3 linked regions of the Callithrix jacchus genome follow. The protein of the gene in region 1 interacts with the protein of each later gene in a biochemical or structural test. Links are inferred from orthologs where the notes say so. Each region holds a gene or a part of one and is shown in the gene's direction. Other genes may lie near its edges. The genes, in order: ATF7IP, SP1 and MBD1.

What was found.
Region 2: the proteins of ATF7IP (region 1) and SP1 form a complex in vitro, tested with the Homo sapiens proteins (3 studies listed by BioGRID). The link is inferred for Callithrix jacchus from reciprocal best matches to the Homo sapiens genes ATF7IP and SP1.
Region 3: the proteins of ATF7IP (region 1) and MBD1 form a complex in vitro, tested with the Homo sapiens proteins (2 studies listed by BioGRID). The link is inferred for Callithrix jacchus from reciprocal best matches to the Homo sapiens genes ATF7IP and MBD1.

What each region holds. Positions count from the first base shown.
Region 1 is NC_133510.1:8,832,132-8,835,779, reverse strand, and holds part of ATF7IP (activating transcription factor 7-interacting protein 1), read left to right. Parts: intron 1-2,955; coding exon 2,956-3,594; intron 3,595-3,648. UniProt on the Homo sapiens protein: Recruiter that couples transcriptional factors to general transcription apparatus and thereby modulates transcription regulation and chromatin formation. Can both act as an activator or a repressor depending on the context.
Region 2 is NC_133510.1:66,143,979-66,147,626, reverse strand, and holds part of SP1 (transcription factor Sp1), read left to right. Parts: intron 1-1,526; coding exon 1,527-1,726; intron 1,727-2,471; coding exon 2,472-2,785; 3' UTR 2,786-3,648. UniProt on the Homo sapiens protein: Transcription factor that can activate or repress transcription in response to physiological and pathological stimuli.
Region 3 is NC_133514.1:93,464,086-93,468,365, reverse strand, and holds the start of MBD1 (methyl-CpG-binding domain protein 1), read left to right. Parts: upstream 1-1,472; 5' UTR 1,473-1,779; coding exon 1,780-1,832; intron 1,833-2,939; coding exon 2,940-3,074; intron 3,075-4,280. Other genes in the region: CXXC1 (CXXC-type zinc finger protein 1), read left to right, coding at 12-164, 280-426. UniProt on the Homo sapiens protein: Transcriptional repressor that binds CpG islands in promoters where the DNA is methylated at position 5 of cytosine within CpG dinucleotides. Binding is abolished by the presence of 7-mG that is produced by DNA damage by methylmethanesulfonate (MMS).

The sequences.
Region 1 (3,648 bases):
CTTGGGAGGCTTAGGAGGGTCACCCGAACCCAGGAGTTTGAGTCAACTTGGGCAATGTAGTGAAATCTACTCAGACTCTTAAAACAAAAAAAGTTAGGACCCTAGATAAGTACACATGAAATACAGGATAGATACTCAAGCCTCTTTGGCAGTAGTATGCAAAATTTCTGGTCTCTTGACCCCTTTACAATCTGAAAAAATTAAGAACCCCAGAGCTTTTACTTATGTGGGTTACATCAATTGATGTTTGTTAGTTGAAATGAAGTAGAAATTTAACAGAAATTAAAACATATTTTTAAAATGTTTATTCATTTAAAATAATAGTAGGCCAGGTGTGGTGGCTTGTGCCTGTAATCCCAGCACTTTGGGAGATGAAGTGGGTGGATCACTTGAGGTCAGGAGTTGGAGATCATCCTGGCCAACACAGTGAAACCGCATCTCTACCAAAATACAAAAATTAGCCAGGCATGGTGGCTGGTGCCTGTAATCCCAGCTACTCAGGAGGCTGAGACAGGAGAATCACTGGAACCTGGGAGGTGGAGGTTGAAGCGAGCCGAGATCATGCCACTGCACTCCAGCTTGGGGGACAGAGCAAGACCTCCTCTAAAAAATAGCAATAACAATAATAAAAATAAATAAAGTAGTAGTAAACCCATAATGTCTAACACAAAAAGACTTTTAAAAATGAAACTAAATGTATTTTCCAAGCTTAAAAATAGCAGCACAAAGAGCATTATCCTCTTACATTTTTTATAAATCTGTTTTATACTTTAAGACATCAAGATAGCTAAAGATAGCTGTATATTCATATTTATATCTGCTTTTGGTCTGTTTTAAAATGTTGATTTGGCTGAAGCATTTGAAGGAAATCTAGTCTTATACAAATATGTAGATGGAAAAGGACTAGCCCTTACAGATAATTGTGGTTATTCTTCTTTGATATTATCAAGTAGTAGTTTCTTTAAGGTTAATTGTGAAGTGTGATCTGAAATCACACCAAATAAATTTCCTTACTCTTCCATTAAAATCCGTTTATTGAACAAGTTTGGTGGCTCATGCCTGTAATCCCAGCACTGTGGGAGGCCCGAGGCAGGTGGATTGCTTGAACTCAGATCAAGGTCAGCTGGGGCAACATGGTGAAACTCTATCTCTAAAAAAATACAAAAATAGCCAGATATGGTGGTACACACCTGTGGTCCTAGCTACTTGGGAGGCTGAGGTTGAGGGATGACCTGAGCCCTGGAGGTTGAGGCTGCTGTGAGCCGAGATTGTACCACTGTGCTCTATCCTGGGCGATAGAGGCAAATCTTGTTTTAAATCTGTTCCTCTATCTTGCACTTGGATGGAATTTTACTAATATCATTCATTGGTCATTTGAAAACTGTTCACGAAGTTAATGCAAATCTTCCAAATGTTGACACATTTTATTTAAAAATATTATTTTTAAAAATTACATTTACTGATTTTACTATCAGTTCTACTCAGAGAAGTATTTTAAGGATTTAGAGAGCTTCATGCTTTCAGTGACGGATATAAGGTTTTTCAAATCTTCTTAGTTTTATTTTAAAATTCAAATGTTATTATTGCTGATAAATACAGTTGGGTTTTTTTCCTTGAAGTGACTGCCTTACCTAGTCTATTTTTTAGAGAAGATCTTAAAAATACCCACATGTGAATCATCAGTGTGCGTATAGATCATTCTTTCAAGTAAAAATAGTCTTTGATGGAAAAGACTGCTGGTTTAGTTTATAGCTCAAATGCACAAGCATTTTTCCTTGAGTTAGCCATTTTACTTTGGCATGCAGAGTCCTATGTCTTCACATGGAATATTAAGAAAAGAACCCCTATTCAAAGGTTGAGATATAATAAAGTTAATAGTTTTTACTGTTGATCATGGGGATTCTTAAGTAAAACTGACTTTGTTTTTTACTGTAAGCGTGTGTTGATAAAGAATGCAGTGAGTTTGGTCCCATTAAACGACCTTGATTTTTGTACTAAAGCATCCAAAGTGTTACTCACCATTGCTTTTGCTCCATTGGTGCAAATGTCTGCTCATTGAAAAAGGCAAATAATATCTCATTATGAAAATAGTTTTGACATTGCAGACTCCCTGAAAGGGTCTCAGAAAACCCCAGGCATCCCCCTGGACTACACTTTGAGAACTGCTGCTCTAGTGTACCTGATTGGAAAGACTATAAATCAATGAGAAAGAAGTTTGATCATGTCTTTTAAACCTATTTCAATGAGAATAAGCACAAGTAGTTGAAAATTACTATAAAACTGTAGTGACCAGCATTTGTATTTTCTCTGTTCTTCTGTATAAGCTTTCACATTTCTTAATTCATCTGTCATCTTCACTCAGTGCTATTTTTCATACCATACAATGTCAGTAGGGTGTCAGTAGAGGGAACTGCCCCTCAGTAGGGGAAGATAATTCCTCTCCCTGGGAATTCAGTCAGACTTGATCCAAAGATACAGACATGGTTCAAATGATAAAATATGATGAATAAGTTTACCTATTATTAATTAATGGTTATGACTTCAGATTTATTATATGAGTTTATATATTACTTGTGTTATAAGGCATTTATAATGTTTTTAATGTAGTTTCAAAAATATACCGTTTTACCTACTTTTTAGTGTTTTTATTTGTTTACTAGTTAGGTACTGTGAAGTGATCATAGTTATTTTCAGGGACTGTTTTGATACTCAGCAGTCTGCGGATTAATCGTCCATCTTGTGCTGTTTTTGTGATATACTAAACCTACATGCAAAATCCTTCCAAGAATTTAATTCTAAGTTAAATTTCAGAATTTAAATCTGGAAAAAACAAACTTTCATGATGAAAGACTTTACAGTACCTAATGCAATGGATTTAATTTGTATCTGTCATATTTTCTTGGCTGGTAAATTGCCATAACCATTTAAACTGAGACTTCTGTTTTCTTTCTGTAGTATCTTCAGCCAGTCTTGTCACCCCTCCAGCAGTTGTCAGTAGTCAGCCTAAGTTGCAGACTCCAGTTACTTCGGGTTCCCTGACAGCACCATCAGTTCTTCCTGCACCCAATACGGCTACTGTAGTTGCTACTACTCAGGTGCCTAGTGGAAATCCCCAACCTACAATCTCTTTACAACCTTTGCCAGTGATTTTGCATGTACCTCTTGCAGTATCCTCCCAGCCTCAGCTTCTACAGAGCCATCCAGGGACTTTGGTGACTAATCAACCATCTGGCAACGTAGAATTCATTTCTGTGCAAAGCCCACCTACAGTGAGTGGTCTTACCAAAAATCCAGTATCCTTGCCATCCTTGCCAAATCCCACTAAACCAAACAACGTTCCTTCTGTGCCCAGTCCTAGTATTCAAAGGAACCCTACTGCCAGTGCTGCACCATTGGGAACAACACTTGCTGTGCAGGCTGTTCCAACGGCACACTCTATTGTACAAGCCACAAGGACATCTTTACCCACAGTGGGCCCATCAGGACTCTATAGTCCATCAACTAATCGAGGTCCTATACAGATGAAAATTCCAGTTTCTGCTTTCAGTACTTCATCTCCTGCAGAACAGAACAGCACTACTAACCCAAGAATTGGTAAGTCACCATGTGGGGTTAGAAATGCAAATACTAGAAATGCAAGCATGTTAA
Region 2 (3,648 bases), about 57 Mb from region 1:
TGCTGAGATTGCAGACTTGAGCCATCCTCAGCTGGCCTAACTTAAATTTTTTTATAGCGATGGGGTCTCCCTGTGTTGCCCAGGCTGGTCTCAAATTTCTGGGCTTAAGCAATCCTCCTGCCTCGGCCCCACAAAGTGTTAGGATTACAGGTGTGAGCCACCTTGTTCAGCCTAGAAGCCTTTTTAAAAAGAAACATTGGCTGGGCATGGTGTAATCCCAGCACTTTGGGAGGCCAAGGCGGGCAGATCACCTGAGGTCGGGAGTTCAAGACCAGCCTGACCAACATGGAGAAACCCTGTCTCTACTAAAAATACAAAAGTAGCTGGGTGTGGTGTCATGCGCCTGTAATCCCAGCTACTTAGGAGGCTGAGGCAGGAGAATTGCTTGAACCTGGGAGGCGGAGGTTTTGATGAGCTGAGATCGTGCCATTGCATTCCAGCCTGGGCAACAAAAGTGAAAGTTCATCTCAAAAAAAAAAAAAAAGCCTCTGGCCTGGCACAGTGGCTCACACTTGTAATCTCAGCACTTTGGGAGGCAGAGATGGACGGATTCATCACCTGAGGTCAGGGGTTTGCGATCAGCCTGGCCAACATGGCTAACTTCGTTTCTACTAGAGATACAAAAATTAGTTGGGCCTGGTGGCGTGCACTTGTAGTCCCAGCTACTTGGGATGCTGAGGCCAGATAATCTCTTGAACCTGGGTAGGAGAGGGAGAGGTTGCAGTGAGCTGTGATCATGCTACTGCACTCCAGCCTGGACGACAGAGTGAGACTTCGTCTCAAAAAAAACAAAATAGAATGAACAACAACAAAAAATGAGGCCTTAGCTAAGCGCAGTGGCTCACGCCTGTAATCCCAGCTGTTTGGGAGGCCCAGGTGGGCAGCTCACAAGATCAGGAGATCGAGACCATCCTGGCTAACATGGTGAAACCCCATCTCTACTAAAAATAAAAAAATTAGCCGGCGTGGTGGCCCACGCCTATAGTCCTAGCTACTTGGGAGGCTGAGGCAGGAGAATCACTTGAACCCAGGAGGCAATGTTGCAGTAAGCTGAGATTGTGCCACTGCACTTCAGCTTGGGTGACAGAGAGAGACTCAGTCTCAAAAGCAAAAAAAAGGAAGCCTTTTTCAAAAATAAAAGTTTGGTCACACCTGTAATCCCAGCACTTTGGGAGGCTGAGGCGGGCGGATCACAAGGTCAGGGGTTCGAGACCAGCCTGACCAACATGGTGAAACCCAGTCTCTACTTAAAAATACAAAAATTGGCTGAGTTTGGTGGCACGCCTGTAATCCCAGCTACTTGGGAGGCTGAGGCAGGAGAATTGCTTGAACCCGGGAGGGGGAGTTTGCAGTGAGCCAAGAGGGCACCATTGCACTCTAGCCTGGGTGACAAAGTGAGACTCTGTCTCAAAAAAAAAAAAGTTTGAGTAAGTTTGGTGTAGGTTGGGTAATTGCTGTTGATACTTTGTGGTTCTTTAGTTTCTGTCTTTAGAATGAATGATGAATAGTTGTATTCTTACTTTTAGGGGTTCAGGGGATCCTGGCAAAAAGAAACAGCATATTTGCCACATCCAAGGCTGTGGGAAAGTATATGGCAAGACCTCACACCTGCGGGCACACTTGCGCTGGCATACTGGCGAGAGACCATTTATGTGTACCTGGTCATACTGTGGGAAACGCTTTACCCGTTCGGATGAGCTACAGAGGCACAAACGTACACACACAGGTGAGCAAGAGCCTGTGGGAGAGAAAAATAGTAATAGATCAGAATGAAAAACACAAAATACACTTACAAAATAACTAAAATTTCTTAGCAACTTAATTTGAAACTGAATTATATGGGTCACAAATGGAATTGGAGTTAATCTGGAAAACTTTTAAGAAGGAAGGAGGGCCAGGTGCAGTGGCTCACGCCTGTAATCCCAAGACTTTGGGAGGCCCAGGCGGGTGGATCTCTTAAGGTCAGGAGTTTGATACCAGCCTGGCCAACATGGGGACACCCTATCTCTACTAAAAATACAAAATAGCCAGGCTTGGTGGCGGGCATCTGTAATCCCAGCTACTTGGGAAGCTGAGGCAGGGGAATCAGAAGGCTTAGTTGCAGTGAGCTGAGATTGCCCCACTGCACTCCCACCTGGGTGACAGAGCAAGACTCTGTCTCAAGGAAAAAAAAGGAAGGAGCTAGGTTTTGAGTGGGATTTTGAAGGCGAAGTATTGAAACCATTACTCTTAGTCTCTGCCTTGCCTTACTTTTCTGCTAAGTTCCACCGTCCTTACTGAGTACTCCCTAACCTTTATCTACTTTTCTTCCCTGTCCCCCCAACCAAAAGGAAAAGATACTTCAAGATTTTTCTTGTTTTTAATAATCTTGTCATACTGGCCTTATTCAGCCTAGTAGAGTTTGAAAGCAGTGAATTAGGTAAGGTAATCTCACTTCCTAACATGTCAGCTTCTTTTCTTCCTTTACCTAGGTGAGAAGAAATTTGCCTGCCCTGAGTGTCCTAAGCGCTTCATGAGGAGTGACCATCTGTCAAAACATATCAAGACCCACCAGAATAAGAAGGGAGGCCCAGGTGTAGCCCTGAGTGTGGGCACTTTGCCCCTGGACAGTGGGGCAGGTTCAGAAGGCAGCGGCTCTGCCACTCCTTCAGCCCTTATTACCACCAATATGGTAGCCATGGAGGCCATCTGTCCAGAGGGCATTGCCCGTCTTGCCAACAGTGGCATCAACGTCATGCAGGTGGCGGATCTGCAGTCCATTAATATCAGTGGCAATGGCTTCTGAGATCAGGCACCTGGGGCCAGAGACATATGGGCCATACCCATCAACCCTGGGATGCAAGGTAGCATGGGTCCAAGAGACATGTGGGAAGAGAGAGCCATGAAGCATTAAAATGCATGGTGGTGGGAAGAATTGGGAGAGGGATACAAGAGAAGAGATGGGGTCCTGGCACCCATCTATATCATCAGTGCCTCTTTGAAGGTGGGAAACATTAGTGAAAATTCTGTTGGTGCCACCCTTTGATGAGCATTTGTTTTACCCCAGTTTCTTCTTAAACTTCTTACTCCAGCCTACCCTTCCTGCATTTCTCTTCTCAGCTCTTCCATGATGGATCACCCCCCTGCCCCATTTCCTAAAGCCATCATGCCTTGATAAATATATATGATCATTGAAATACTTTTTAACAAAAAACAGATTCTATATTATTATATATATATAAATATATATATAAAGATATATAGAGATGCATTCACAGGGGTTGGCTGGGAGGAGGAAGAAGACCATTCTGTGACCAAAATACCTTGGTCATTTTTTTTATATTGCCTTATTTCCCTATGGCTGAGCCTTGTTGTGACACATCAGCTTTTCTGTAGATGTTGCCTTGGCTTCTCACCAAATTAAGCATTCATATGCTCTGCTTTTAGTTTATATATACATACATAATGTTTTTCCTTTCATAATTTTGTCTTTATTTGGGATCAGCTTCTTGCACTCCTTTCCTGACTCATCTGTTGCCATCTCACATTCTCATATCTGATCACTTCATGTTTTATTTTTGTTAGTGCCTGGATAAGGCACTTCTGTCAATTTTTTCAAGACCTTAGTTCCAGCAGCAGAATGGAAAAACCTTGAAGCCCAGGCTGATG
Region 3 (4,280 bases), on another chromosome or scaffold:
CCCCCCTGCAGGTGCCAGCCGACGAGGTATGCGGGTGCCCCCTTGTACGTGATGTCTTTGAGCTCACAGGTGACTTCTGCCGCCTGCCCAAGCGCCAATGCAATCGCCATTACTGCTGGGAGAAGCTGCGACGTGCGGAAGTGGACTTGGAGCGTGTGCGTGTGGTAGGTTTCCATGTGGTTTCAGTGCTGCACATGGTAGGTGTCCATCCCGGACGTGGCCGAGGGCAATCGGGGCTTCAAGAGTGCCTGCTCAGGACTCCTGCTGCTCCCTTGGCAGTGGTACAAGCTGGATGAGCTATTTGAGCAGGAGCGCAATGTGCGCACAGCCATGACAAACCGCGCGGGATTGCTGGCCCTGATGTTGCACCAGACGATCCAGCACGACCCCCTCACTACCGACTTGCGCTCCAGTGCCGACCGCTGAGCCTCCTGGCCTGGACCCCTCACATCCTGCATTCCAGATGGGGGAGCCGCCCAGTGCCCGTGTGTCCGTTCCTCCATTCATCAGTTTCTCTGGTTCAACCTGTGCCCATCCACCGGTTGACCGCCCGTCTGCCTTTGTCAAAGGGTTTTTCCCTGTCTCCATGTTCAGTGCCTGGTGGGGCTGCAGAGTCCACTCATCCTTCCCCTCCCTGGGTTTTGTTAATAAAATTTTGAAGAAACTAAGGAAGCTGCCTCCACATTGCTGCGGTTGCAACTATTCCCAACTCCTAGGTAAGATGGGGGCTCCTGCACCCCGGAAGAGCCCAGGGACCCACATTCCCAGCCTCCCACGGGCATAGGTCTACGTAGCGCGCATTCAGTGTGGTGACACTGCCCGCTCGTGCTCCTCTCTCCCACGCAGAGCTGTCGTCCGCCGTGGACGCCAGGCCCCGTTTAAGCCCCACCTTGACGATCCGCAGGGGCGCGCCCTCCAGCGTGCCTCAGTTTACCTGCGGTGCAGCTGCACCGCCCCCTTCCCCGGCCCGCTTGCCCCGCGGCGGTTCAGCGGGGAGGAGGGAGCAGGACACGACAGCCCTGGGGTTGATGTTCGGAGAGACCTGGAGGCACAGGCTCGACACCAGCGAGAGGTGGGAGAGTAGAGTGCCGGCTGGGCCAAGGAGTGCGCAGGCCTGAACCATCTTTCTCGCCGCCGTCCGCATCCGCTTTGGAGACCGCGGGAGGAAACGGAGGGCGCAAGCGCAAGCCCTCCCCAACCACTTCCCCTCAGCTTAGACTGGAGAGCGCATGCGCACGCCAGAGAGGCAGCGAGGGGCTCCGCGGCTGCTGATCCCTCGATGGGGCGCGAGCGGCTATTAAACGTCATCACGTAGATGCAACTCGTTCCTGGCAGGGGCGCGCGCACAGTTGCGTGCTAGCCCGCAGGCGCAGGAGCCTCCCTATTAAGGGCACGCGCCGTCGAAGCATTAGCGCGCAGGTGCGTCTCTAGAGGAGGAGCCCGAGAGAGGCAGGCCGCGGACTTCCGGTTCCGGGAGCAACGAACAGCCGCGGAGGCAACAGCTACCGCTTCAGAGGAGGCGGCCGCCGAGGAGGAAGAAGGGGAGGAGGGCGAGGCGGAAGGTGCAGGAGGGACCCTCGCCTTGGGTCCACGGGCCTAGAGCTGCGGAAGATACCGGTCTGGTGCCAGACTGGTGAGACAGCCTTGGGGCTGGACGTGGAGAGCGCTCAGGCGGAGGATGGGAAGGAATTGAGGCTCAGAACGCTGACGGGGTGGAATGGAGGGCCCTCAGGCCGGTGAGGGAGAGGAATGGCGGCGTCGGAATACTGACGAGGAGAAATGGGGGGATTTAGGCTGAGGACGGGAAGGAATGGAGCTCAGAACTCTGACAGGTAGGAGTGTCGAGATCCTGGGGTGAGGACAGGGTGGAATGGTGGAGTTCAGAATGCTGAAGGGAGACATCAGGGCATCTGAAGTTGAGAGAGAGAGAGAGATAGGGGTTCAGAACTCTGAGGGAGAAATGAGGGGCCCTCAGGCTGATGACAGGAGAAATGGAGACGTTGGAATGCTGAAAGGGAGGGATGGGGGCCCCATATAGAGGATGAGGAGCAGTAGGAGATCAGAACACTGACAGTTAGGGATGGCATGATCCTGGGACAAGAACAGAGAATGGGGGAGGGTTCGGAATGCTGAGGGGAGAAATTAGGGTCTCTCAAGATGATGATGAGAGGAACGGAGGATGAGAACAGTGAAGGGGAAAAGAGGGGAACTTTTTGGCTGTAGAGGAGAGAAACAGGAAGGTTTGAGGGCTGACACTGGGGAGAAATTGTGGGTCAGAACATCGAAGGAAAAGAAAAATAAGTGGGGAGCTCTTGGGCTGAGGAAGGGGAGGCATAGGAGGCTTCCAGTGTGAGGAATGGAAAAGATGAGGGGCTGTTCAGGCCATGGGTTGAAGCAGTTGTGTCTCTCGCAGAGGAAGTCGAGGTTGTAACACTGAGATAGCAGGATAAGAAGACATCAGACAAGGAAGGAATGGAATGGTTAAAACACTGAAGGAGGGAAATTAGGAACTCCTGGGTCAAGGAAGGGGGAATGAAGAAGTCAAGTAGTGAGAGCAAGAGAAATGGGGCCTTTTGGGGCTTGAGGATGGGGAGTATGGGGGTCTTGGGGTGATAAAATAGAGGGATAGAGGACCTTAGGTCAATGACAGGGAGGAATGAGGGAAAAGGATGAAAAGTTTGTGGACTGGCAGTGAGGAGAAATGATGGGATGTCAGTCCAAGGATAGAGAGGAGTAGGGAATAGGACACTGAGAATAAGAAATGGGGACCCTTGGGTTGAGGAATGAGGATCTTTTAGGCCCAGAATAGGAAAGAATGGGATGGCAGATCCTAGGTCTTGGGCAAGCACTAATGGATACCAGTGATTTGTGTGGCCTGAGGCACAGTTTTGTCCCTTACTAGAGCCTCAGTTTCCCTCATCCTCTCCACCCCCTTTCAGGCTACTGCAGCTTCCTGTGGCCTCCATGGCTGAGGACTGGCTGGATTGCCCAGCCCTGGGCCCTGGCTGGAAGCGCCGTGAAGTCTTTCGCAAGTCAGGGGCTACCTGCGGACGCTCAGACACCTATTACCAGAGGTACTGGGTGGGTTGTGGACAGAGTTGGGGTAGGGTAAAACCTGATTAGGGTAAAATCAAATAGGGTGGTTTAATTTATGGATGGAGTTTAAATTATGCATATACAGTTCATTGCTATTATTAGCAAATTTTATGTTTGCAATTTTATCTACTTAAAATTTATTTGTAATTTAAAAGTCACAACTCACAGTGCATTTGTGATTATTCAAGGACATGCACAGAGCAGTGAAAAGCTGTCACTCAGTGCCTGTGTTTCTAGCTGAGGCTGAAGGAGCTCTTTTTGTTTCAGTTTTTAAAATTACTTTTGAGACAGAGTTTTGCTCTTGTTGCACAGGCTGGAGTGCAATGGCACTATCTCAGCTCACTGCAACCTCTGCCTCCTGGGTTCTACGGATGCTCCTGCCTCAGCCTCCTGAGTAGCTAGGATTACAGGCACGCGCCACCATGCCAGGCTAATTTTTTGTATTTTTAGTAGAGATGGGGTTTCTCCATGTTGGTCAGGCTGGTCTTGAACTCCTGACCTCTGGTGATCTGCCTGCCTCTGCCTCTCAAAGTGCTGGGATTACAGGCATGAGCCACCATGCCTGGACATGTTTTAGCTTTAATACTGTAAGCAAGTAACTGTTCTTTTCATGGTGTGTTTAGTGTCACATTTTTCCAATTTTTGTACTTTTTGTTGGTGATTTTGTTTTTTAAAATGGTCCCAAGCATAGTGCTGAGGTGCTGTTTAGTGTCCTGAGTGTGAGAAGGCTGTGTTGTTTCTTACGGAGAAAATAGAAGGTAGATAAACCTTTTTCATACATGAGTTACAATGCTGTCGGCTGCAAGTTCAATGTTACGCATCAAAAATATGGTACAACCAGAAAAAGAAGGAAATTTGCCAATATGCATATGAGGCTGCTTCAGAAAGTACAGAAAGCATTCATAGTCTTGAAGCTGTGGAAAAGATGAGAAAGCAGCTACATTGGTGGATTCATGAAATGATGATCAGTAATTCGTAGTGGATAGCATTGTTGAGGAAAGCCAAACTAACATTACTCTGGGTTAGGAAAATATTAAGGTTATATCAGGTAGTGCTGGCTGACTTGCACATTTCAAAAGGTGACATGGCATGAAAAATGTTAAACTTGGATCCAGTACAGGTTCTCCCAATTAGGAGTCTTCTGCGGAATTTTAAAAATACTGTTAAGTGTTATACAGGAAAAG